Oreochromis niloticus: one gene and its partner. The protein of the gene in region 1 interacts with the protein of each later gene in a biochemical or structural test. Links are inferred from orthologs where the notes say so. Each region holds a gene or a part of one and is shown on either strand. Other genes may lie near its edges.

What was found.
Region 2: the proteins of ibtk (region 1) and btk form a complex in vitro, tested with the Homo sapiens proteins (2 studies listed by BioGRID). The link is inferred for Oreochromis niloticus from reciprocal best matches to the Homo sapiens genes IBTK and BTK.

What each region holds. Positions count from the first base shown.
Region 1 is NC_031976.2:14,394,963-14,407,790, forward strand, and holds the start of ibtk (inhibitor of Bruton tyrosine kinase), read right to left. Parts: upstream 5,187-12,828; 5' UTR 5,018-5,186; intron 4,674-5,017; exon of another isoform or gene 4,650-4,673; intron 4,406-4,649; 5' UTR 3,865-4,405; coding exon 3,541-3,864; intron 3,385-3,540; coding exon 3,288-3,384; intron 2,062-3,287; coding exon 1,937-2,061; intron 521-1,936; coding exon 410-520; intron 1-409. Other genes in the region: tpbg (trophoblast glycoprotein), read left to right, coding at 8,304-9,620. UniProt on the Homo sapiens protein: Acts as an inhibitor of BTK tyrosine kinase activity, thereby playing a role in B-cell development. Down-regulates BTK kinase activity, leading to interference with BTK-mediated calcium mobilization and NF-kappa-B-driven transcription.
Region 2 is NC_031966.2:17,461,543-17,474,098, forward strand, and holds the start of btk (tyrosine-protein kinase BTK), read right to left. Parts: upstream 8,252-12,556; 5' UTR 8,121-8,251; intron 6,558-8,120; 5' UTR 6,480-6,557; intron 5,555-6,479; 5' UTR 5,503-5,554; intron 5,258-5,502; exon of another isoform or gene 5,253-5,257; 5' UTR 5,235-5,252; coding exon 5,094-5,234; intron 4,969-5,093; coding exon 4,864-4,968; intron 4,285-4,863; coding exon 4,203-4,284; intron 4,092-4,202; coding exon 3,966-4,091; intron 3,880-3,965; coding exon 3,818-3,879; intron 3,729-3,817; coding exon 3,541-3,728; intron 3,126-3,540; coding exon 3,063-3,125; intron 2,877-3,062; coding exon 2,822-2,876; intron 2,699-2,821; coding exon 2,619-2,698; intron 2,293-2,618; coding exon 2,165-2,292; intron 1,769-2,164; coding exon 1,697-1,768; intron 1,280-1,696; coding exon 1,108-1,279; intron 935-1,107; coding exon 715-934; intron 581-714; coding exon 516-580; intron 425-515; coding exon 306-424; intron 1-305. Other genes in the region: rpl36a (large ribosomal subunit protein eL42), read left to right, coding at 8,747-8,749, 9,333-9,438, 10,067-10,134, 11,343-11,465. UniProt on the Homo sapiens protein: Non-receptor tyrosine kinase indispensable for B lymphocyte development, differentiation and signaling. Binding of antigen to the B-cell antigen receptor (BCR) triggers signaling that ultimately leads to B-cell activation.

The DNA of each region.
Region 1 (12,828 bases):
ATAATCTGTACAATATTGCTGAATTCTCTGTAAACTACAGAACACAATAAAGGAATGTTTACTGATCTACAACCTACTATAAAAGATTTGCTGACTTTTTCCCAGATTGGACTATCTGTGAATGTGTTCAGTGAAGGCCTGAAAAGTAAAACTATTTATGCGTTACTTGTTTAATCAGTTTGTGTTTGTCTATAATTATAATATAATTGATTTAAATGAATATCAAATCCAGATCAAGTTTCAAAACCACTTTTTCTTGAAACCTAAATTTTCTGTAGCTGAAGCAATAAAATGCACAAGCACATGATTATGATGATAATGCATTGATATATTTGTTCATTAAAGAGGAAGGAATTCTGCATTTCGTTTTAAATATATGGGGGATTTTGATATGATGCCCAGATCTCACCAGATAAGTCTGTTCATCTCCATGGCCAAGCCTTCCTCCCTGTCCATGCCCGCAGGTGAACACCTGGCCTTTCTGAGACAAGAACACAGAGTGGAACTTGCACAGCACCACCTGTAGAAAGAAGAAACAAACATAATTGTGGTATCCCCTTGTTGCTTTCAGTTTTAATAGCCTGCATATCCCACTACAGGAAAATTACGAGGTGTTTGGTTGTGCTGATTAATGCTCTTGTCATTATAATTTTGACCTCACGTCCGAGGCTGCAATGCATCTCTTTCCATGTCCCTGGGCCAACCCTTCTTGTAGCGATAGTAAAACACTACGGCAATAAAAGGCCAGGGCACAGGTGGAAAAGCAAACATCATTACTAATACATCGCTCCCCTCAAGCCTTCAATAGAGCACAGGGATGTCTCCTGAAGTATCGCATTGATGTGGACATCCACACACATGCGTACACATGAGTATAGCTCATTTAATTAAAAACATGTCATTGTGGAATTAATATTTAACCTCTGGCACCTGCTGGATTGGGCCAGGAAGACAAAGACTACACTGAGTCTCACTGGGTCATGAAATGGTCATGAAATCAGATCCACCTGTCCCCAACTAGCTTTATGAAATGACTCCTGCAGGTTAGAGGGAAAAAAAGAAAAAGAACAACCCTCACACTTTCAGCTGTAAACAGCAATTATACAACATTAGGCACAGATAAATTATTAGTCAACAGATAAACAGAAAGTGAAAATATAGCAAACACAGTCTTATCTTATTCCGACACCCGTTGGGTACACAGGCCACTGGGGGTAATTGAACTGGTTCCAGGAGCTATATTAATCACACTAAGAGCCTAGACATGACAAACGCATGAAACTGTAGCCTGGCTTGGCACAGTTCAGCTAGCAGGGGTTAACAATGTACAGACCAGCTCCACTAAGTCACAAATGAAGGTTGTACAAGAGACGGCAGACCACGCCTGATGATACAGAAACAATGTGCTGTATTAGACTCAAATAACATTACTGATCCCCCCACCTCCTAGATGAACCGGGAAATGTGGCCATGACTCAATACAATATGCCAAATTATATTATGTAATATGCTTTAATGTATAACTTAATACATTTATCGCAGGTACAGTTTGAAGCTCTCCAACATAAGCATTATTTCAGCTGCTGTGGACTAAACAGTACTGGACAGCTGAAAGGGGGAGGAAAAAAAAAACATTTTGCAAATTTTCAGGTGCCCTGAGGAGAAGGTGGTGTAATACGTGGCTCTGGGGATAGGAGTGTTTTACTGGTTTTACCCAAGTGATGTGGCTTATCTGAAACACCCATGTGCACTGGCTTTTTTCTTCTTCTTTTTTTAATTTAATGTAATATCTTGGTACTCAGTCAAAACACGGAGCTATTACAGCATTCCTGGTGCTACAGGGATACACATGAGTTGGGTTTTCAGGGTGTGAGGTAGGAAAACACGTACCCACTCCCTTGAGAGATGTTAAGACGGCAATGCGTTGTTAGCCTACCTGCTTGATGTAAACTCCAGTCCTGGCAAAGACATCAACAAGCTCAGGGTGCTGTCGGCTCTCCTGATTGCCATGACCGAGGCTGAAATTTGTATTGTTTCCCCACGTGTAAACTTCAGTTGGGTCTAAGGTGAAGAAAGAAACACTATTTAAAGAAAAAAAAAAAAAAAAGCCAAAACACTGTTTCCACCTAATGTTCGATTTAACTAAAGAGGCCTGTAGTGCAAAACTGGATTTGGGGTTCAGTGAGACACCACATATGCTGCAAACCTAGCCTGCTCTTGACAGGCGGCCTAGGTTTGCAGCCTGCCGGTCCAGAGCAGTCCTAGGCTGCTCTGGACTGCTCTGTTCCACAAAGGAGATCAACGCATACCAAACAACCACCTGCTGACCAATCCATTCCCTGGAAAATAACATAACTGTTCCTAGAAAAGCCTGGAAACCTACTACATACACACTGAGGTCCACAATGTGCAGTTAGGAACTTTTGCAGACTACCTAAAGTTTCGTCTTTCTTTGCAGAATATGAATAAGACTTTTTTTTAAAGATTTTTTTTAACTGTTTAAAACATTTTATAAGCCTCAATATAGCAATATGATAGTAAAGTGGAGAATTTTAGCTCTTGACTTGGTGATTTTGAATCAAATCGAACACACTAAACATGGTTACTGGTTTAAATTCTGTTTTTTATATTTATTCTTTATTTGTTTTCAGACCTTTTAAACACCGCAGAGGCTTCAGCTGCAAGAATAACACAAACACGTCACACAACACAGACTGTTTAACAGAATACGCAATTGTAATTATATGTCTGAATCGCCTGTGTCCCAGTGACACAGCTATGATAATGATAAGTCTGTTACCTGACACAGTGAGCTTTTCTGGTCTCAGTGAGCAAAGCTCAGAGTGCACTTAAACACATTTACACAGAGCTTTTCAACACTGAACTACTGTGCAGCACTTTGCCTATCACACACACTCGCATTTTGCTTATTTGGCTGCAGCAGCTGTGTTGCTTTCAGCAGGTGGTTGTATTTTTGTACTATTACAATCTGATCATCATAAAATAGACTGCTCAGTTGCCATCGGACCTGTCCCTATTTGTGGTTAGTCATATGCTGCCAACACAGCCTCTTCAATGTGAGCTACATTTGACTGATCCAGCCGATAACCACTTAACTGTTACCAGTGATATGATAAGGGAAGACAGAAAAGACAAAGATATCACATATATATTGAATCGTAGTATAGGCCCAAGTTTCTTTTCTTTTTTGAACAAGCGAAGTAACACATCTCCAAAACAAAACCAAAGCATTAAAAGCAGCGTCTGAGGGTGTCGGCTTTTCTTACCAGTGTTTCTAAACAAGACATGTGATGGGCGGTCCTTCATGGTCAAGTCCAGGACTGAAAGACCCTCCTTGTCTTGGGTGGAAAGAAGTCCCCCGTGCTGCAATACAAAATTCAAATGTAGGTCAAAGTTTGAGTCTCTTCAGAATAATGTTTGTCATTTTACGGTACTGAAAGCTTTGATTGGACTGTTTCTTCTTGGTAATAATTTAATAGACACACTGGTAAATTTTGATGGCACTCCATCAATACACACCTTGACCAGTGATATGAGACAGTGGATCTGTCCATAGAAGGCGCTGCGGTGCAGAGCGGTCCAGCCGGACTCCTTATCCTTAAGCATCAGGTCAGCACTTTTGATTTCCAGCAGCCACTCCAGCAGGGCCTTCTTACCCAGTGAGGCCGCCAGGTGCAGGGCTGTACGACCGAAGGCATCCCGCAAAGTGGCTGCATTGTGGCAGTGTGAAGTCAGGAAAGCCCGGAGCTGCCCCTCAGAGCCACTTGTTAGTGCAGCAACCACCTGGTCTGCATGCTGCTGTGAGCGGCATTTGGGGGTGCAGTCCAGCGGTGCCTGACTCATCCTGACCTCTGACAAATCTTCACAGTGAAGCCCTTCTCCTCTTTGCAAAGTCCTTCTGCCAGCCCACCACCGATAATGGCAAACACACTCAAAAACAATGTAATGTGTGGCAACAAACAAGACAAACACTGTCAAAAAAATCTGGAAAAAAATAGGACAAAAATAAAACAGCCGAGGTAGATTGGAGTGCTAGAATTGTGCTTGTGTTGAGGTTCCACCGCACCCTAGCGACTCCAGAGCCTCTGCGTGACTCGTTTCAGTCCACCATTTCGACCAAGGACCGCACACAAGGCTGGGTGCTCGCAGTGTACAATGGCATCAGGAATTTAATAAATAGAAAACTTCTTTATGAATTTATACAAAAAAAATTGTACAACATCTGCAAAAATAGTCTTTCATTTAATTATGTACAAAAGGCAACAACTTCACCAGCCCTCTGACCTTCTTCTGCAGTCCCAACCATCAAACCTGAGGGGAAAGGCCACCTTCCCCCCCAAATTTTCACACCTCTTTTTCACAACTCCATAATTGTAGAGTGTACCTAAAAGAGAAAAAGTTGAAGCACACATTAGTGACAAAACAGCGTCCTCATTTTGATTACATGTAATCACGTGTGCAATAGTCAAATACAAAAGTGTAAACTTCAGAACAAGCCTGCCCTAAAATCAGTCTTAAGTAGCTCGAGTCAGCTGAGTTTACAAGGTTTAATGTTGACTAATCACCACGATTATGTAACAGGCTAACTTAGCTTAGCTTAATGTTAACTGCTGTTATTGTCCACTCACCATTTGGTCTAGCTAATGGTAAGCTAATACACCCTTGATGTTAAGGCCGTAGTGGACCTATTTCTTTAATAGAAACAGTCGTATCTCCCTTATTGCTTATCTAACTTGCTGCAGAAGCAGGCTGTGCACAGCAGCTACTTCACCCAGTAATATTAGCTCATCCTGCCTAACAGGGTACTGCAGCATAGATAATTTCAAAGCGGGATAAACGCACCGATTTGGACAAGTTTGAAAATCAGCCCAGTATAGTTAATTAAAGACATTTACCTAAAACTACTTTGACAGCTCGCTTAGCTGACACATCATCGCAAGCTAACGTTAGCAAACTGCTAACAGCTGAAGGAAATGAACGTCGGGGTATTTCTTACCTTCCGCTAGTGAAAGAAAAAAGAGGACATGGAGAAAGTAGCATCAACGACGTAAATCCACTGTGTCATTACTACAAATGGAAAACGCAATGCATTTTTTCGCCGGTAAGAATTTTGGACAGGAATCTGCCCCTGCAGGTTAGGTAAGAGAGCTTGCATCAATGTCAAGACTTCTGATTGGCCACGGCTCCTGCATCCTGATGTCCTATTGGCGGATTTTTGGGGCGGTCAGTTGATTTCAGAGTGTGCTGTCGCTCTGTGGGTGATGTCATAAAGTGCGATTTGGACATTTAGTTTCCTATACCAAGATTATTGAGAAGGGTCTGGCTGAGATTATTCTGGTTAACTAACACTAAATAAAAAACTAAAACTGCATATAATTTTTTTTAGTTAGCTACAATAAAAATACAACATTCTGAAAACAAAATAAAGCTAAGTGAAACGATTTTGTGACCTCAAAACTAACTAAAATAAAATAAAAAATATAGAGGAAAACCTTAGTTTTAGTATTTCTTAGTTTGATGAAAATAAAAATAAATAATAATAACTATTATTATTATCATAGTTACAGTTTGGCTGATGACTCTGTGTGTCTACAAGACTGTTAAAATTTTTAAAAAGTTTGAAAAATAAACTGAAAAAAGAAAACCCAGTATGGAGCGAAACTAAAACTAAACTGAATTAAAAACAAAAAGTCAAAATGAAATAAAAACAGAAACCAATCAGAAAATACAAAACTATAATAACTGTGCCTTGTACATATGTTAATGAATAATAACATAATAAAAACAAAAAATGAAAACATACATACCATAAATATTACATCTTAACAAGCTTGCAGATTAATCAAGAGAAAAGACAATAATAAGTGTTCAATAGAAGCAAGATTTCATTGTTGAATATTTTTTAAATGACTCATACTATTCACACTTAAATATAAACTTTGAGGATAAACTAATAGGATAGGAAAGGTTTTAAAAACCATCTCTGATCATTAATTGTTTCTTCAACAGTGAATGAAAACTTATGTGATGATCAACATTTTGAGTTTGCCACATTTAGCGTTAATATAACCAGAAGATGTAAAGTTTGTAGGTTCTCCAGAAAAGCACCATATAGTTAGATATTCAGAATCCAAGTTTCATGGAGTTAAACAGATAATTGTCATATTGGCCAGGACTATGAATAGCAGAGGGTCAAAGGAGGGTAAAGCTAAGTTTACACTCAGATACACACTAGGGGCTGCTCCTAAATATGCCATATTAATGAGCACTCCCTCCCTCACCGTTCAAGCTTTCCTTATGAATCTTGTTCAATTGCCCAGATGATGCTTCTACTACAAGGCCCCAGTCAAGTACAATTACAGCCAAACAGTTATGCCATAATTAATGGGGATCAAAAGCATGTTTAGATATTACACATATAGTACTATATTAATACACAATATCCAGGCACTTTTTGTGTTTTCTTTATTGTTATTTAATTGAGTATTTTGCTGACATGCAAAAAATCTTCACGATGTTCCTCATTTATCTTCATAGATGGTTAAAAGAAATAGTAAAGCATTTGAATCATACAAAAGTCCCCTTTCTTATAAATAGCACTAAATATATGTTCGGTGATGAGGCATTATCAGTAGATCAAGTGATGAATGTCTTTCCATTAACATTTTTCTTTTGGCTTTTCAGTCCCTTTAGGCTAGATGTGTGGGTTTTTTTCATGGAGACTATGTCTTATCGAATGTGATTTGTGCTGAACTGCACAGAATTTTAAACATTAAGGTAGGCCTTTAAATCAAGATACTTTTACCCACAGGATTCCAGCCACACACACAAACAAACAAACAAACAAAGCCACTCCTATGCTACCTAAAGGAATAATGGTTCAAGAAATACCATTTATGAATACACTAACAAGTGGTTATGGTTAGGTGGAATGATTTTATGTAAAGTGGGACAAGAATACCTTGCTAGACTCTATATGTTTATATGTTACCTTCATTTGTCCAAGTAAAAATTTCCAGCTGAGTGGGATGATTTTTGTTGGTAAAGTGGAACATTTAAGATTCATCATGTAAACAAACTGTCCCCAGATGAGTAGGTTAGCAAGGGCATCTGGTGACCCTTTGACATAAGAGACCACATGAAAGCACCTTTTTTCCCTTTTAACTAAATAGTGCAAAATACTGATTCATGGTCTGTGGCTTAGTAAAAACTAGAATTAATAAATGCAATAAGGACTGATAATCCTTTACCTTCCCTCCCTTTCCTCATGCAGGGTCACCTCCTCTTTTTGTAGTTAGAATATCAAGTACCGCTTCAGTTTTATTCATGAGTTATTAGAGCTTCATTACACTTATTTTCAACTTGTGTTTGACAAGTCATTCAATTCAAACGCTACAGTTATTCATAAAAGGAAACCTAGACTCCTGTAGGGTAGAACAGCGACATATTAACATTTAAAATGTAAGAAAACAACTGAAGTGTGCATGAGCACAAAACCCTTCCATCCATCTTCATAATGTCTTCACATCATAATACTAATAATGACAGTGCTGTGTATCGTTCTTAATCCAACAGCCAGACTGGTTTGCTTCTTTAAATCTGTTCTTGATTTTTTGAGACTATATAGAACATTTTATTATTTAATACAGAAAGTAACTGCGATTTTCAGGAATAAAATGAATGTTAACACTTCCACACTAAACTATCCATAAGCCCGTGTCCCATTTAAGATGAACTATTCAGCCCTCTTCATACATACTGGTTAGCTGCGAGCCAATTTATGAATATTACAAGAGTTTCGGGTTAGGTTTATAAAAAAAATTAACCACTTATAAGCATCATCATGACCGTGGAATTAAAACTGAAGGCCGAAGAAAACTTGTGGGAGTTTTCTGTTCACCCCCTCTTTTCTTGAATAATGGTACGCTCCCTCCTTGCAATGGTCTGCACTGTGCTGCTGCGGTTGGTCTTTACCTCTTGACTCGCAACGATTAGGAGGAGCGGAATGCTGGAAATACGTATGTAATATATGGCACCTCTGGGAGAACGAGAGTTTTGTCTGTTTGGAAACCAGCAGCCGGAATAAGTAACTGGATGTAAAAAAGAAGAAAGAAATATTCTGGATTTGCTTGTTTTGCTAAGGAAAAGGGGAAAAATATCTTGTACCTCTAATGTTCCGAAAAGCCTGAGACTGGGAAGACAAAGAAACAGGATCGGAGAAGTTTGCCTGCTTCACTGAAATGTAGACTCATCATAAACAAGGATGGTGTGGCGGTAGTTGTATGGAGTTGGAACTAGGGGCATTTTTCGAAAGGATAAACGTGGGAAACAGTGTTAGAAAAACTTTCCTTTGTTCCCCACACCGCGGACGAACAACGAAGCAGGGGTCGCACGCTTGGATTGTTTTAAAAGCGATTTCTTTACGCACGCTCTGCGCACACTGGTTTTCAAACTCCAAGAGGCGCATGTTAAGCACGTTGTGCGATAGTGACTGCGGAGGCACGCGAGGGAGGCTCCGAAAGTCCGGCGTGATGTTTTTACTTTTCCTCCTCGCGATCGTGCCGTCCGGTCACGGGTGCCCGGAGGAATGCTTGTGCTCCTTACAAACTGTGAAATGCCAAAACAAGGACTTGGACAAGATTCCGCATTTCATACCAAACAACACCAAAATTCTATTTGTGTCAGGAAACAGCATTTCTCGTATTAGTGGGGACTCCTTCCCAACCCGCCTGGAGCTATTAACAGATCTCCATCTCAGTGGGAATGAGCTGGAGTATGTGGATACGATGGCATTTAACAACTTGCCAAACCTTGTGCGGCTGGACTTGAGCAACAACACACTCCAGAATTTCAATGAAAGCGCTTTCCCCAATGACACTAAACTGCAGCACTTGAACCTCAGTAGGTCTTTGCACAATCACTCCACCACAGATGAGCTTCTAAATTTCCTGCGCAGCGGGAACCTCGTCAATCTTACAGTCTTGGACCTGTCCAACAATGACCTTGTGATTCTTCCCAGCGACATATTCACTCATCTTTCCAGCCTGGTCAGCCTCAGCCTGCAGAACACCTCCATCATCAACATCCACAACGGGACTCTCAGAGTGCCCCCATTGCGTGAACTTGACCTGAGGAACAACAGCCTGAAACACCTGTCCAGCAAAATGATGGCAGAGTTCAGCCTTAAGCCGGACCTCCGCATCCAGCTGGCAGGGAACCCCTGGCTTTGCAACTGCTTTATCGAGGACACGCTGATGTGGCTGAAGAACTCCACTCAGGTCGTCGACGTCCAGAACCTGACCTGCACGAACCCCAAGGACCTGAGACACCAGCCGCTTCTGCAGTTGGAGAAGTACGAGCTGAAGTGCTCGATGGAGATGAAGGGTGTGCTGGGGACTTCTTACGTGTTCCTGGGACTGGTGCTGGCCCTGATCGGTGTCATATTCCTGCTGGTGCTCTACCTGAACAGAAAGGGCATCAAACGGTGGATGTACAACATCCGGGATGCTTGTAGGGACCACATGGAGGGGTATCATTACAGGTATGAGATAAACTCTGACCCACGTTTGGCCAACCTGAGCATCAATTCAGATGTGTGAAGAGGGGGCGTACAGCGTGGCATCGGCCTGGGACCGTGCAGTGAGATAATAAATGACTTTATACTATTAAGATTTGCATGAAAGTCTTCCTCCCCCCCACCCCATGATAATACTCAGACTTTGCACCTGTCGCCGCTCCTTTTTACCCACCCCGTAGTGACTTCCCCATCAGCCACTGCCGCATGTCCCGTACCAGTCACCTGGCAGCTGCGATGTCAGCAGCATTGTCTCTGTGTAACAGTGCATGGACAATGAGTCATGGCAAAGGGGTTTTCTGGACAGTTGCAAAGAGTGATATGTTCTATTTTTACTTTCCCCTAAAGGATAAACGAATGAAGGGAACTGACTTGTAACTGAAAGAATAGTTGGTGAAAACACGCTGCCAGTCGTTGCATCCTTCTCGTAAAGCCTCAGCTGCAGACAAATGTTACACTGCTTGAGTTTGTTTTTAATACGTGAACATGTAATACAGTATGCCTTCTTTTGAATGATTATAGTGCACACTGCATTAGCTCTTCGGATTTATTAGGTGGATGTGATTGCTCTTTTTTTTCTCCTGTGATGATATTCAGCTGAATAAAATGCCTCTGGATTGCTGGTATCTGTCTCGACTGAGGGCCTTTTAATTGTAAGACTGAGGAACGTGATCCCAAGGCTGTGATGAAGGAGTTCACGGGCACACGGGCACACACTTACATTCCCGAGGCAGGGCCACAGCTCGGCTAAAAACCACATGACAAACACTAAATCTCACTCCAGCTGTCAGCGAGCTCAGCAATGTGTGAAACGTTTGCACTTTTGCCACTTATAGTATCTCCAGGGTAACAGTGTACGGCTGTGTTCTCATTAACAAGCAACTTTCTGTGGAAAAGAGTCAAATTCTGATGTTGAATAGAGGACACGTCCTGAATTCAAATGAGCCTCTGTCTGCGGGTTTAAAGGTGATGAGAGTAGCCCAACTGTTATCTCCGGTCCAATTTACTTCACGCTGTGTGTCTGATAAAGAACCACTGGCTCTGCTGCGACCCCCCCCCCCCCCCAGAATAATGTCTGTGAGCCTGCACTGCAGCCAGAAGACTAATCTCACCACTAACAGCTCCTACCAGCGTTTACTGTAAGCATTTCAATATGCTCCAGCTGCAAAAACCCAGGAAAAATTCAGTGTTCGTGTCGCTCCATGGCACATGCAAATGAAGGAAAACCGAACCAGAGATGCTGGTGCTCATGGGGGCACACGGAGGTATTATGGAAATGAGCTCAAGCAGCTTTTCTTTTCATGTAACCCTGTTTTAGGGGAACTTGCATCCCTGGAAGTAAGTCATTAGTGTTTTTACTCAACTGTCAGTTGCTGTTGTTTTGGAGTGTTTTTCTTTCTTTTTTTTCATGTTGTCCACTATAGTATGGATTAATAATTTAATAATGCGTGGTATTCCTTTGAAGGGGATGCCATGCGTGTTGCCGTCTAGCAGTACAAATTAATGATGTTTGTTGTGTCTGCATGCAGGAACAACTGTGAACTTCCTTGGCCTTTAAAAAAAAAAGCGATTACAGAGAATCATCTCCCTATTCCTAAATTTCTTTAACGACTGGCCTCACGTTGCCCGCAGCATGCTATTTCCAGTGCACGCAGCGTGCCTCTTGCACAGATTTCCTTCACAGTTTTGCCAGGCCTGCGTGTTTCTGCACATCTGTGTGTTTCAGGGTAGGGGGGAAAAATAAGAGCTTTTGTCATCAGCTGCTGCTGCTGCTGTAGTTGAGACTGTCTCTGGATGTGTCTGGTTAGACTTGTTGGATATCAGAAAGGGAAGTCATGTGGAACGCTGTCTGTGTTATCTGGTGCTCCGGTTGGTGTTGATGCTTTGTGTGTAACCTGACAGACGCGGCAGGTAATGCTGTGTGATACTGCAAATTTTGGTATCGATGTGATACCAAATAAATACAGGGCCAGCACTGACGATATCACTACCAATACTTTTGACTTATTAAGGCTGCTTATGGAGGGGAGAGCAGTGTGTCATGATTTATGAAATGAATCGTCATCAATTTGCAAATTCTGAACACATTTCAGTGACCACTAAATCACTGTGATTTTTACTTTTCACAATAATAACACAACAAAACACACCTTTCAGCTTTTCATGTATTCTGAATCTGGGTTTTTGGGGGACCTGAAATGTAAATGTGCCTGTCTCTAAACAAGATTTAAATGTGTTATCAGATATAGATAAATAGAAACAAAAAGGTTCGGATATTTTTCATAGTGCACATTTGAGGCAAATGTTTTCATTTCAGAAAGAAATAATGAATTTCGTAGAATTCAGTGGGTTATATAATGAACTTAGAAGATAGAAACAAAGTATCAGTCCAGTCATGCTAGTATCAATCTGATACCGATAATAGTGGTGTTATCTATACTATCTTTAGCTTTGCACGTACCATGTGGAACTCTTGCATCTATCAAGCCATTGGTTCAAACAACAGCTTTGCCAGTTTTAGAGATGGGGAGGGTACTTTAGTCTGCAATGTGTGTGTCCTCTAATTCAACAATGTCACCTTTGATTTATACCTTCCTCATGCACGCTTTAGCACTGAAATTTTAGCCCATTAAACAAGCCCTTGCCTAACTGTGCATTCGAAATTGTTGCCGGCTGATTTTTGAAAATGGATGGTCTCATTCTACATGCACACGTTATTCCCCAAAGTGAGGATTCTCACTTGGCCGCCCCAGGAGGGGCGTACAGGTGCAGGCTGCTTACAGCCTAATGTTTCCACAGAGACCATCAGTAAGTAGCTCTCCTCCTCACACACTATCTGCAGATTCATATTAACAAGTGATTTTTGCCCAGCCACGCCTCAAGCTACGCTTGGCAGAGCAGGTGTAATTACACTGAGAGAGAAAAGGGAGAGAATGAATGGCTGAAGGGGAAGCAGAGTAATAGATGAGTGAGGGGAGGGCTTTCTTTTCTTTAAGCATGACGACACCGTCTCTGAACCCTTTGTGATCGTTAACTCTAGTCTCCAAGCAGCCTGGATGTCTAAATAGCTGGCTGCTGACTTGTGGTGTCAAGTGAGGTCCAGTGAGGAAGTGGTGTTCTCTCTGGACTCCCTCAGCAGTCTGTTAGGGCCACCGGCTAAAGCTAATTTCCAGACAGGGGCAGGACTGATGGTCGTACTTGTTAGTAAACAGATACTGTTACAGATATTGGCA
Region 2 (12,556 bases), on another chromosome or scaffold:
AAACATTACATGCATAAAAATATTTTTTTTAAATGAAGGTATTAATGCATTAATTGTAATATAAATTCCCGATGTATGTATTTAGTTTTCCATTTAACTATTTAATTAAAATTTTAAAGAATAATTTTGTTAGCACATTTATTTTCCCTATGTATTCACCAAAACTGTTTTTTATACAGTAGAGTAATGAATTAACCTATTAAGTCATTTGCACCTTTATTTTTTTAATACTGAAGTTTCTGTGTCCACTCACTCTGAAGTACATCAATAAAACAATAAAAATATATACAGTATGTATTACTTACCATATGCCCAGATGTCAGACTTACTGCTGAATTTGCAGTAAAGAAGGACTTCGGGTGGCGACCAGCGGACAGGGAACTTTGAGCCAACCGAGCTTGTGTATTCATCATCTAAAACATACCTGGAAGGTTTGGAGGAAGAGGATTTTAATATTATGCTGATGATGTACCAGCGTGTCTTGTTCTTTTTGCAACTTATGTAAAGTGTTTTACCTTGATAGCCCAAAGTCAGTCACTTTGACAGTGCCATTTCCATCTACTAAACAGTTCCTGGCAGCCTGGAGATAAAACAAACAACACTTTTGGTTCAGGAATAATCATTAAACCTTCAGCGTTATCTTTGGATAGCAAACAGGACAGCAGTGGGATTTTTCTTTTTTAAGCTTTGACACAGTGGATCATTGTCTCTCACCAGGTCTCTGTGGATGTACTGGTGTGCCTCGAGGTAGGCCATGCCCTCAGCGACATCTTTACACATCTCTAGCAGCTGGATGCTTGTTGGGTGCTGCTTCAGGCCCTCCTTGAGGTATGTGAGGAGGCAGCCGTTTGCAAGGTACTCAGTCACTATATAAATAGGCCTTTGTTTGGTGCACACGCCGTAGAGCTGGACCAGGTTCTCATGGCGAAGCTTCCTTGTTTGAGCAAAAAGAAGAAGGAACTTAAGCACTGTGAGCTGGGTTTCCTCAAAGACATTATAGGAACTACCATTCCCAATATGACAGATCAGTTTTATGAGTCTTGTGCACAAACAGACTCATCTTATAGTGAGTTAGATATTCAGCTATTATCATTTAGTTGTGCTTACATCATGATTTTTGCTTCTTCTATGAAATCATCTTCTGACATGGAGCCCTCTTTAATCATTTTAATGGCCACATCATGCTGTCCCTGCCACTTCCCATACTTCACCACTCCAAATTGTCCAGATCCCAACTCCTTGATGAAGGTGAGGTAGCGTGGGTCAATCTCCCACACACCTATGTCGAACAAGAGAGATTGTGCTCTTTTAGCATGCAACAACCTCATTAAAATAACTGCTTGACACGGTGTATATATCTTTTTAGCGCTGCTGCTGAGAGATGAATGAGATACCACTCTTGGTTACCATAAACACTAGAAAAAGTTTTTCTTTTATCAAACTAAAAACCAGGTGATCGGGTGCACAGACAGAAAAACATTTTTAATCTTCTGATCTAATGCTATGCACAAAAATGTAATAACTTTGCCAAATATACTAATAGCACAAAACACTGTTAAAACAACAATCAGTATCTTACATGTTAGCTTTTATACACTCTCTGAAAGCTGTTATGATAAAAAAGAATACATTCATAATCCAAAAAAGCAGGTGTAATTAAATTTCATCTGCAGTTCAAGTGCTGTCATAATCTTACCATAACCAAGGCCTGCTGTGGATGGGGGCCGTGCCCGGTTAGATACGATGTGTTTCAGTCTGCTAACCATGCCTAGTGGGGGAGATAACAAAGCCACATTACCTATTAAGATAGTCATTTTTGATAGGATGACTGGAGTATGGATTGTAAGGACGAACTAATTCATTGAGCTTTGAGATGTGAGTGAAAGGGCTACAGAAGACGTTAAAAAAGGAAAATAAAAAGTGTTTTCGCATTAAAAAGCAACTGTAAATTTAAGTTAAATAAAGTGGAAATTAATAATAAAAAAGAATAATTAAACCCACAAAATGTCCAATGCCCCCCCTAACCCCCACTCAAACTTGCTTATGACTCATTTCCTTTTTCCTGTTACCGTAACCAAATTTGAAAATGAGTTTATTGTGTAACAAATACCACAGTATTAAAGCTGAGACTATGTATCCATATGACCCGGGCAGTTATATTGACCTGCTGCGTTGTGCTGGTGATAGTTGATGAGCTCTGCGATGGTGTTAAAATTATGCTTTTCTGCCAAGTAATACTGGCTCTGCGGGGTGGTGCAGATGTTATAATGTCGGCAGCTTCCAACAGCTTCCCTGAAGAGAGAAGAGTAACACGAGTAGATTTAGTCCGCACGTTTTCACTGGAACCACCGAACAGGAATCATTTATCATATATGCATAATTAGGTAAAATCTCCTCAGTGTTCTGAACAGGGTAGCTCAGTCTTGGAATTAAAAAAAAGTACCGCAGACACATTAGTCCTAGTTTTGCATAAGTCATTTACATCTCTCTCCCTCTGCGGGCCACTGTTTCCTCTTTCATTACAAACAGTTCTTCTTTTCATGCGTTCACACATGACTGGAGCTAGTGGATACACTATATAAATGGTAGCAGTGTTTAACACCACTAAGCTTACTCACCCGCCACCCTTTGTGAGCAGAGACACAGTGTATTTCCCAGCCTTGCTGGAGTCCCGTACCAAGAAGCCTCCATCTTTGTTCTGATTACAACAACATATTTCATAAGTTTTGACTTAAATACAGTCCGGAAACATATTTTTAAGTGGAGCAACATGTCACATCTACATTTTTAAGTACATTGGTAATGACAGTCATAGGTTTACCTCAGCCTTTAACAGTTTTTCTGCTTGACTACGGTTCATATTCTTGCAATACCAGCTGTCAATAAAAAAATAAACAATTTTTAATTCTTCCTGAATGTTGTTGTATTAGTCCAACAATAAGAAATGAATTCGAGTGCAGATAAGGAACAAAGAATGAATTAGGTTAAAAAGAATAAAATTTATAACTATATGTGACATTAATACACCTATTTAGGGGCAAAGCAATAACACTGATACTCACTCGAATCTTTCTAGCCCATCTTCAGCTTCTACAACATAATTGCTTGGTATATAACCCTCTTTCCTGGAAAAGAAAAGAACATCAACAGATGGCACATGCAAAATGTGAGCTTTTGCTGGACCTTAAAATATTTGTTAACACAAGCAGATTCTAACTTTTACAAATCATTCAAGTGAATCATGTATTATATAAGTTCATTTCTACTCGTTATGCAAAATTTATGAACTAACGAGCCGTGTAGCCCCGGAAGCCACTTTTTGAACGTTCTCTTATATGAATGATCTTTAATCTGTGTGCTTCAAAATCATCACTGATTATCTGTCTTTATCATTATAGCGCTTGTAGTTGGTTTACTTTAGCTTCCATTGTAAGTTTCCAGGGTAAACTGATTGCGCTTGATTTATGATTTGTGTGATGGGCTACGTGCGGCCACACTCTTCTTACGAGACACTTTTTGGGTCACCTCCAGTCAGCTTACCCATATTTGTCTCGAGCTCTCCACCAGTTTGCATCGGACTTTTCCAGGATGGTGTACTCCTCATCCTTCCTTAGCTCCAGGTCTTGTGTTGTCATGGGTGTGTAATTGTACTCAGCTACAACTGTCATGCCTGCAGAGGAAGCTGGTGGGTCAGGAGGCTGTGGAGGTAAAGGACGAGTAGGCTTTTTCTGGAAAAAAAAAAAAGATTGCTTTTTTTCATATAGAAGAAAACAGTGTGTACTTGGTGAATGTTCATCTCAAAGTCCTAGGTCTATACCTCTCCTGGGGTTGGAGGAAGCGGCTTCCTTGTTGACCTTCGAGATAGCTGTGATGTCACTCCTGTAAAGGCATTATTTGATATATTAATTCAAAAGTTTAGGACCTGATCATTTTAGACTTTAAACTAAGGGGAGTCTAATTCTCACCATTCTTACTATCGAGCACTTTGCAACCCATGGCCTGTTTAACTTCCTGGTGGCAGCACAACCACACCCCATCAACCCAGAAGCACGGATGGTACTTCTGCATCAGATCACTGTTGAAGCGCACCACTGTACACGCATATGATCACAGAGTTTTTCAGATACACAAGATATGGTCATGTTCATGAAAGATGATAAGAGATACTGTGACGGCGTGAGAGAATATACATGCACGCTTACATTCTTTGAGCTTCTTTATCCACTCAGCCCGGATGTCTTCAGTCTTAGAAAATATATACAGTGGCCCTTCATCATAAATGACCTATGGAAAAATCCACAGCGGAGCAAGACGGCAATTTTCAGTATTTTTTTATTTATTTTTTTCAAGTTTGGTATTGCAGAATAGATGGCTGCAAGTGTGGCAAAAGTCTCTTCAAATGCGTTCACAGAAATTCAACACATGAACCCACAAAGTGTTACTTTGCTTTTTCTTTAATTAAGACATGTTTAGCTTGAACTTTTACTATTTATGGCAACATTGGCACTAAAAGCCCCTAGCTCATCTGAGTGTGAGAGGAAGTTTCACTTCTTAACAATTAACTTTCACAGTGTTAACTATTGGAGCACTGAACAGTCCCTGGAGAGCCTCACTTATGCTGCTGTGTGCTGCTTGTACGTGTTTTTTTTTAATACAAAGTGTTTGTTGTTGTTCTTTTTCTGCAGCTCTATTCTTATACAATCTTCCTGTTATGTGTTCTGGCCCGAAGCTAAACAAGAGAAGAGATAGCAGTGAAAGCAAGCAAAGTGTATATTTTATATAAAGTTTAATCAGGTACAAAGCATTTGCATTTGACTCTTGTTTATAACTTCAGTAATGAAAATTGGATTGAAAAATATCTACCTGGAATGGATACATGCGCTCTTGTGGGGCATTGGGCTCTGGCTGGACTGTCTCTACACACTTGATCTTCTCTAGGTCAACTGACCCTTTCAGACCTTTTCGCTTCTGCTTAACAGAAGAGGAAACAGTCAGGTAAGTCCAAGATAAAGACCCAAGTGTTTATTTAGTGGCTCAAGGTTGCCAGCCAACATTAATATGAAACAAACCTTTCTTCAGTTCTATATACATACCGCTTTGTCTGTGTCAAAGTCATAGTAGAATATTTTTTCTGCTGTGAGAACAAACAATCTCTCTTTGTAGTTTAAAGGTGAGGTCTTCTTCTTCTGTTGAGATCTTTTAATGAAGACTTGTTCCAGTATAGAGTCTGACATGATTCAATCAGGATTCAGCTACACTGGAACAAGTGACAAATGGATACGTTTAAAAAGACTAATCATGGCGTAACACAGGGCTTCTCCACTAAACAGCATGTTCTCACCCCGACTATAACAGCATCCGTAATTCTGCTGAGAGCTGTGACTGGCTCACCCATTGTGACTGTGCTCAGCATTATAATAAAGCCTCATGTTTTGCTGAACTTTACACTTATTCAGTGTTTTCATTTCCTTTGAAAAGCGTTTTAAAGAATGTAATACCTACCCACTGTTCATAGAGTTGGAGCAGTGCCACTACAACAGGTGAGAGTGGAGATCTGGAAAGAGATGAACAGGCATGCAGTGTTAGCGCATATCATTGTGTGATTAGGTGTAGTTTGCATAAGCCCTGCTTTTCCTGACAGCAACATCCTCGGTTTCCAACATTTGCCTCTGTGGCACATCTGTTTCTCTTAGCTGTTACATCCTGGTCATCTGGATACAGTATTTAACTCGTCTTTGCCTTTGGAATGAATATCAAGTGCCTGATTTGTTGATCCAGAAACCTGGCTCAATACAGTAGTATAGTTCTTTCATTTTATATAACTATACAGTCTAGACATGATCCATTTTATTTCTAAATAAAATTTGTTTGCTGGCAAACATATCATGTAATATATCACTCTTACTATCAGAAGGCTTCCTTCCCCTCGGGCACATTTCTACATTTTACCACGCACATAAGATAAGTAGGCAAATGAAAAAGGCTCTCTTTTTGCTTTATGGCAGTGTAGTGTGTCTTGTTTGCAGCACCTCCTAACCACCAGCGCTGAAATGAAACTTGCACCTCCAAAACAAGACACATTGATAGAATCTGAGTGAAGGGGAGCATACAATAATTTCTCTTTGTGGAAATTAGTAACATAGCAACATTAACAGCCTGATATTTTAGGGGAAATAAAGATAGCTGAAACTTAATTCAGCATAAATAGTGTTGCAGTGACGGTACACGCAGAAAATCACGACAACTGATGGAAACAAAGCTGAAAGATATTGATGTTGATGATAGGTTGGGAAGCAAAGTCTTCTTTGGTTCTGACCAATGCAGAACTAAAACTAAAATCTCACCAAATGACCAGAAGAAAAGCCAAGGTATTCCCATCACCACATTGTTCTAAAAGTGCAACAAAAGTGCACCAATGCAGGGAAGTTATTTGTTACCGGTTACCGCTCAAATGTGAACTATCAAATTCTCAGACTCACCCTCGTTACACGGCCGAATGCTCACTGTGTGTCAGTTTCTGTCAGATGTGTGCGCACTTCAACTCAGCCTATTTTCAGCTTAGAGAGAGAGAGAGAGAGAGAGAGAGAGAGAGAACTTCCTTCTATCATCTCAACTGTAACTGTAGCACTACGAGAAGCTTCTGTTGCTCTCTGCTAACGAAGTCTGACATTTCTTCACACTCGAGTGACACTACCTGCTGGTGTTGTTTGTGCCTTCATGAGCAGACAGAGGTGTTCCCTATTCTGTGAAACATTGTTTACTCATTCCTCATTTAACACGACCCGTGTTTTCTCACATCACTAACTCGAGTGAAGGTCAATAAACTCTGAGGGCGCACGCCCAAAACCGTGATATGTGCCTCTAAATAAGTGAAGCCTTTTGACTGAACTGTGCAGCTACTAATGCATCATGGCTACTCAGAGATTTTTTTTTTTTTTTTTGCCTTTTCTGCTGGGAGTTGACTCATGGTGGCTGACACAGACAAAGTCATAGGGAAGTTGCATCAGTATTGCGTTGCAATATGAAGAGAGAAGAAACCCTGTGGCCTGCACCTCTTCTTACCTGACAGTATCTCTTTTTTAAATGTTGCTGTGCATGATTTGGACATTTGAAAAGCATGTAATCTACCAGTTTTTGCAGGTTCCGTTTGTAATTTATTCTTCTGTGTGTGACCTGGACTGTATAATCTAAAACAGGCCAAATGTGTCACTACACCCTCTGTGCGAAAGGCAATTAAGTAGCAAATAAATCATTATAAATTATCATTATTGGCATTATTGTTTTTTTATTCTAAAGTGCACAAGTTTTGACTGCGTGATGTCTGATGTGAATGACACAGCAGACACAAGCTTATCATGAAAGACTAATGTTAACAGGAACCTGTAAAGATGCTGTGTTTCCTGATGTTTCCTGGTAGATAAGTGCTATGTGCAATAAAATGCGCACTTGTGTATGAGTGTTTGCGTGTGTCTCTGTGTGAGCATACGTAACAAAGAAAGAAAAAAAAGTGAGTAATGTCACAAGACTGATTCTAACCGCAAAGAATACTCAGGCATATTAAAATACCACATAAGTTTAACATTGTGGTAACTTGTGAGAACTATTTGTCAGAATACGAGAATTTCCCATGATGCACATGTAAGTATTAAAAATGATAATACAATCTATGACAGTTCAATCCAAGCTATCTGCCATGAAGAGTCAGTAACTGTGTGAAAGTACAACCTGATTAGTGATAGTGATTTGCTATACATTGAACCACTTTTCTGCTACAAAGAAAGCACTTTGATAAATAATGTCAGTGTATGCACATAAAGGATTATCAGCACTCTGTCAGCGCACAACAGTACATTTATGTCCAGAAAACATTCAAAACTTTATAAATCTTTAGACTTTAAGCTGAAAATGTCACTTGTGGACTCATAATTTCATTGGTTATTTCACAGGATTTGCATACAAACGAAATTACATTGGTTTTCAGTTGAGTACTTGCACTAATCTATGCTACTTTTGGCCTCGGCCTTTCAGATGAAGTGTACTCAAAGGTTGCTTCTCTCATTTATAGTTCTGTGAACAAAGTGCGACTAAAAATACCTCCTTTAGAAACAAGTGCTGCTTACCCAGATGTCGAAAAATGACACACATCAGACAACTGCAGATGCTGAGGCTTGAAGAGTGGCATGGACCTTTGCCTCAGTAGCTGGCTTTCCATAAAATGTGTGTTGGTCTGTGATGCAAGAAGCTTAAAACACACCCACAGAGAGGAATCGACAGGGCTTACTTCCCCTTTTTCTTGCTGCTAATTTTCATATCAGCCTTCTGGACAGTTTTGTTGATAAGTGGAAGCGGGCTAAACATTAATGTGAGGCCATATTTGGTTGTTACATATAGTTACACTGTAACCTGAGGGGATTTCTTAGTTTCTCACCTGCTTATTATGTTGTTAAAAGATATTTCAAAATGATAACTTCTGCAGGAATTAAAGCCTACTCACTGTGAGTAAAACGTATAGCTTGTGTTTTAGTATATTACTGAGGCACTGAGTTTTGTCAGGTTTATGCTGTGGACTCCATGGCTGTCACTCTCCTTAAAACTTGGGGTGTTTGCAGTCTTTTTATGGTTTTGGCTTCTTTGCATCTCCGGCCGCTAGGGGGCAGACCTCTCTACGGCTGAGGTCGACTACGGCGACTTTAAGAACTGCTTCCGGCCTCCTTCTTCCTCTTTCCCTCTGCATCGGGTTGCAGCCATGGTATGCTACCATTACACCTAAAACAAATCTAACTCAATCCTGCCGATTAAAGTACAATTTCTGTATTTGATACACCCGGTTATGTTGATAATGTCACGATGTGCGTAACGATGGCGGTATTGGCCATCTTTGGTGTATTTAACGTTGTGATATTGATGGATGCTATCTTGGTGGAGAAACGTCACTTGGTTTTTCTACTCCAACCGGCCTTTCTGTCAGAAGCGAAAAAAACAAAACAAGCTAAACATTAAAATCAATTAACAGCTATGTCAAAAAGTGTTTTGCTTTGTAAAAAGTGTTGGAGCATCACTTGTTTACGCTGTTTTCTTTAAAATAGCGATGCTAACGTGTTAGCTTGCCCCAACACTGCCGGCCACAGTTTAAATGATAAACTCGGTGCTTCTGTGTATTAAGGTCAATTTCGAAAATGATTTAACAAAACTCTTTATAGCTGTGCGCTTTATTTTTGATAAGTGTTGTGAGTTTTATGGCTTGGGCCTGTTGGACGTGGCTAGTTAGTCCGCGTTGTGGTATTTTGTGTATACTGCACGTCTGCTCAAATGTTATTCTCTGTGTTGTGCAGGTGAACGTCCCGAAAACCCGCAGGACCTTCTGCAAGAAGTGCAAGAAGCACCAGCCCCACAAAGTTACCCAGTACAAGAAGGGGAAGGATTCTCTTTATGTACAGGGTGAATATGTTTGTCCTGTATTTAAGGGATGCACTGGTGTCTAACGCCAAAAAAGTGTCTGTATATAAAATATTGACCTGTGATCTGTCAAACACATCTTTTGTAAGTGATATCAAGTCACTATGAGCCAGAAAGAACGTTCCTGTCACAAAATACAAGCAGTTACAAGTTTATTTTTCAGTAGATTTGAGCAAGAGTGTAGAACAAATTGCACCAAATTTAACAGCATCTCTATAAATATATTTTAGGTAGCCAAAAAGGACTGGCTTGATGACGTGTAAAACACAGGGTACAGCTAAGTGTACATATGACAAAGAGTCATAGGGATTCTTGGAAAACAGGTCATTTCTTTATTTTATATATAACTCCGTAAATTCTGCTTACTACATCTACCTACTAATATAAGCAAAGATATAATATATATAATGTCACATATTTTGATAAATCAATCAGATTAGTGTCTTAGCACTTAATATATCTGCAATCTTTTTCCTGTCACAGAAGGGAAATTGGCCCATATTTGCAGACATTTTACAATCTTTTGTTTTGAACCCATGCATCAGTGCATCCTTGCTTTATTTTATTAATTGTTCAAGTATGTGTTGACTAAACTCTAAATGTTTTTCAGGTAAGAGAAGATACGACAGAAAGCAGAGTGGGTATGGTGGTCAATCTAAGCCGATTTTCCGAAAAAAGGTAATCATCGCTTTCTCATTCAGTGCTGTAATAAAAGTGCGTCCTTTTCCAGATTTATATTTTTCTGCTAATTTTGTCACACTTTAAAGTTTGAGATCATCGTCATACTAATTTTTAATATTATAAAAAAATAACCCAAGTAATTAGAAAGCACAGTTTTTACTTTGCCCTGTGTGAAATCATGATTTAAGTGTAATTAGCCACATTTTTGGGGTAGTTGAGTTAAATTTCAATAGCCTCTCCCAGGCGTGAATACTGCCATATCTGTTGATATGAAGAAGTCACTTACTTCAATGTGTTGTAGAGGTTTTAAGTTTTTAAAAATATCAAAAAGCAGCACATCACGCCACAATCTAAGGGAGTCAAGAAACGATGACAAACAAGACATTGATGTTATTAGTGCGAAAAGGGTTGCAATGCATTTCTTTGGCTTTGGAAAGGTGGAGAGAGCCATGATCCACAAATGGAGAAAACTTGGGGACAGTAACGAACCTTCTCAGCAGTGGCTAGCCTATCCAAATTACTCTTAAGGGCACATCTATGGCTCATCAAAGAGGTCACAAAAGATCCCAGAATAACATCTAAAAAACTTCAGGCCTCACTTGCCTCAGTTAAGATCAGAGTTCAAGGTTCAACAGTGTGAAGAGAGTTGGGAAAAATGGCGTCCATGGGAGAGTTTAAAGGTACAAACCATTACTGACCAAATGGTTTCACATTTGTCCCCCCCAAAAACCATCTTGCTTAACTCCAAGACAGAAATATTCTGTGGACTGCCGAGAAAAGAGTTGAAATTTTTGGAAAATGTAAATAATGTTACATCTGGCATAAAACATACAGCATTTGATAAATACATAACAATCGAACATGGTGGCAGACGTGTGATGGTCAGAGGCTGTTTTGCCGCTTTAATTGATGGAAATATGAATTCTGCTCTCTGCCAGAAAATCCTAAAGAAAAAATGTCCAGCCGTCTGTTTGTGCCCTTATGTGTAAGTGCCCTCGGGTTATGCTGCAGGACTGATCCAAAGCACAACAGCAAGCCCTACTCAGATTATCTTTATCTAGTGTTAAAATGCTAAGGTGTGACAAGTTCACAGGAAAAAAATGATTATGAAAAGGGTAAATACTTTCTCACAGCATTGTACTGTTGGATTGATTGTGTTGAGATATGTGAGGGGAAATGACACTCACTGAAATACTGTCACACAGGCTAAGACTACAAAGAAGATTGTGTTGAGGCTCGAGTGTGTGGAGCCCAACTGCAGATCCAAGAGAATGCTGGCCATCAAGAGATGTAAGCACTTCGAGTTGGGTGGTGACAAGAAGAGAAAGGTAAGACTCACATATGTCCCTGGTATTGTAAAGGTTAAAGTTCACTATTCTTTACAACATATTCTTTATATTAACTTTATTTCAGTAGTACTTTTCAGAGTGGGTTTAATCTCTGCTAAAGCTACAGTTTGGTGTCAGAATCATCCCACAGAAATCTGTTATCAAAATATTCTGACTTCTCATATTTGTAGGTAATTATCTTGTTACACATTTAAAATTTAATAACCTCATGTTTATAACCCACTATTAGTTTTTCATGTGACATATTGACATCTGTTGTGTTAATCATGATAAATTACGGAAGTAACGCGGTGACAGCATGATAAAAATGCACAATTTGCATATCAGCTGGTTTTTCACCTAAACATGGATTTCCTGTTCAGAAAAAATAGTTTGTATAAAGCTGTTGTTACACATGCACTGTAGCCTTGCACGCTAAAGATGGATATTGCTAGATATCCAAAGAAGGTGCACGAGAATGCAAATGCCAGATGCAGTTGGATCGGATATGTAATTATCTTGAGCCTATTCACTCTCTAGTCATCCCGTTTCCTGTCAAAATTGTTCGTTCTGGCAATTGTTTAATTTTTCACATGTACATATAAAAATGTGGATTTTAGAATATTTGTCGAAGCTTCTGCCTAGGCAACACTCTTCAAGAGGTGGGAAAAATACCCCCAACAGTTTTTTCCAGTAGTTTGAAAGCGTCTGACACATGCTCTGTGTGTTAGACGAGGGAAAGGGCCACCTCTGACCGTGTCCCGACTCGATTCTGCCCACCCTTTTCCGATGTAATTAGTGAGAAACGGCTTTTGAAATTGAGTTGTGAAAGAGGCATGGCCACATGAGTAAATGCGTCTGCGTGCATTTCACACGCTATAGCAACACAATCGCATTAGGAAATGTTTGTTTGCTGGACTTGATAAATATGCAGCCCATCGTGGATTTTAACTGGAGCATATTTTGCTTTCAGTGACAGATTGTTTTTCTTTTTGTTGTTTTTTGTGGTTAGTGGTAAATTGTATTTGTTTTGATGAGATGGTGACTCTGGGTTGGGTGTTGATTTATTGTGGTGGTTAAAATACGATGCA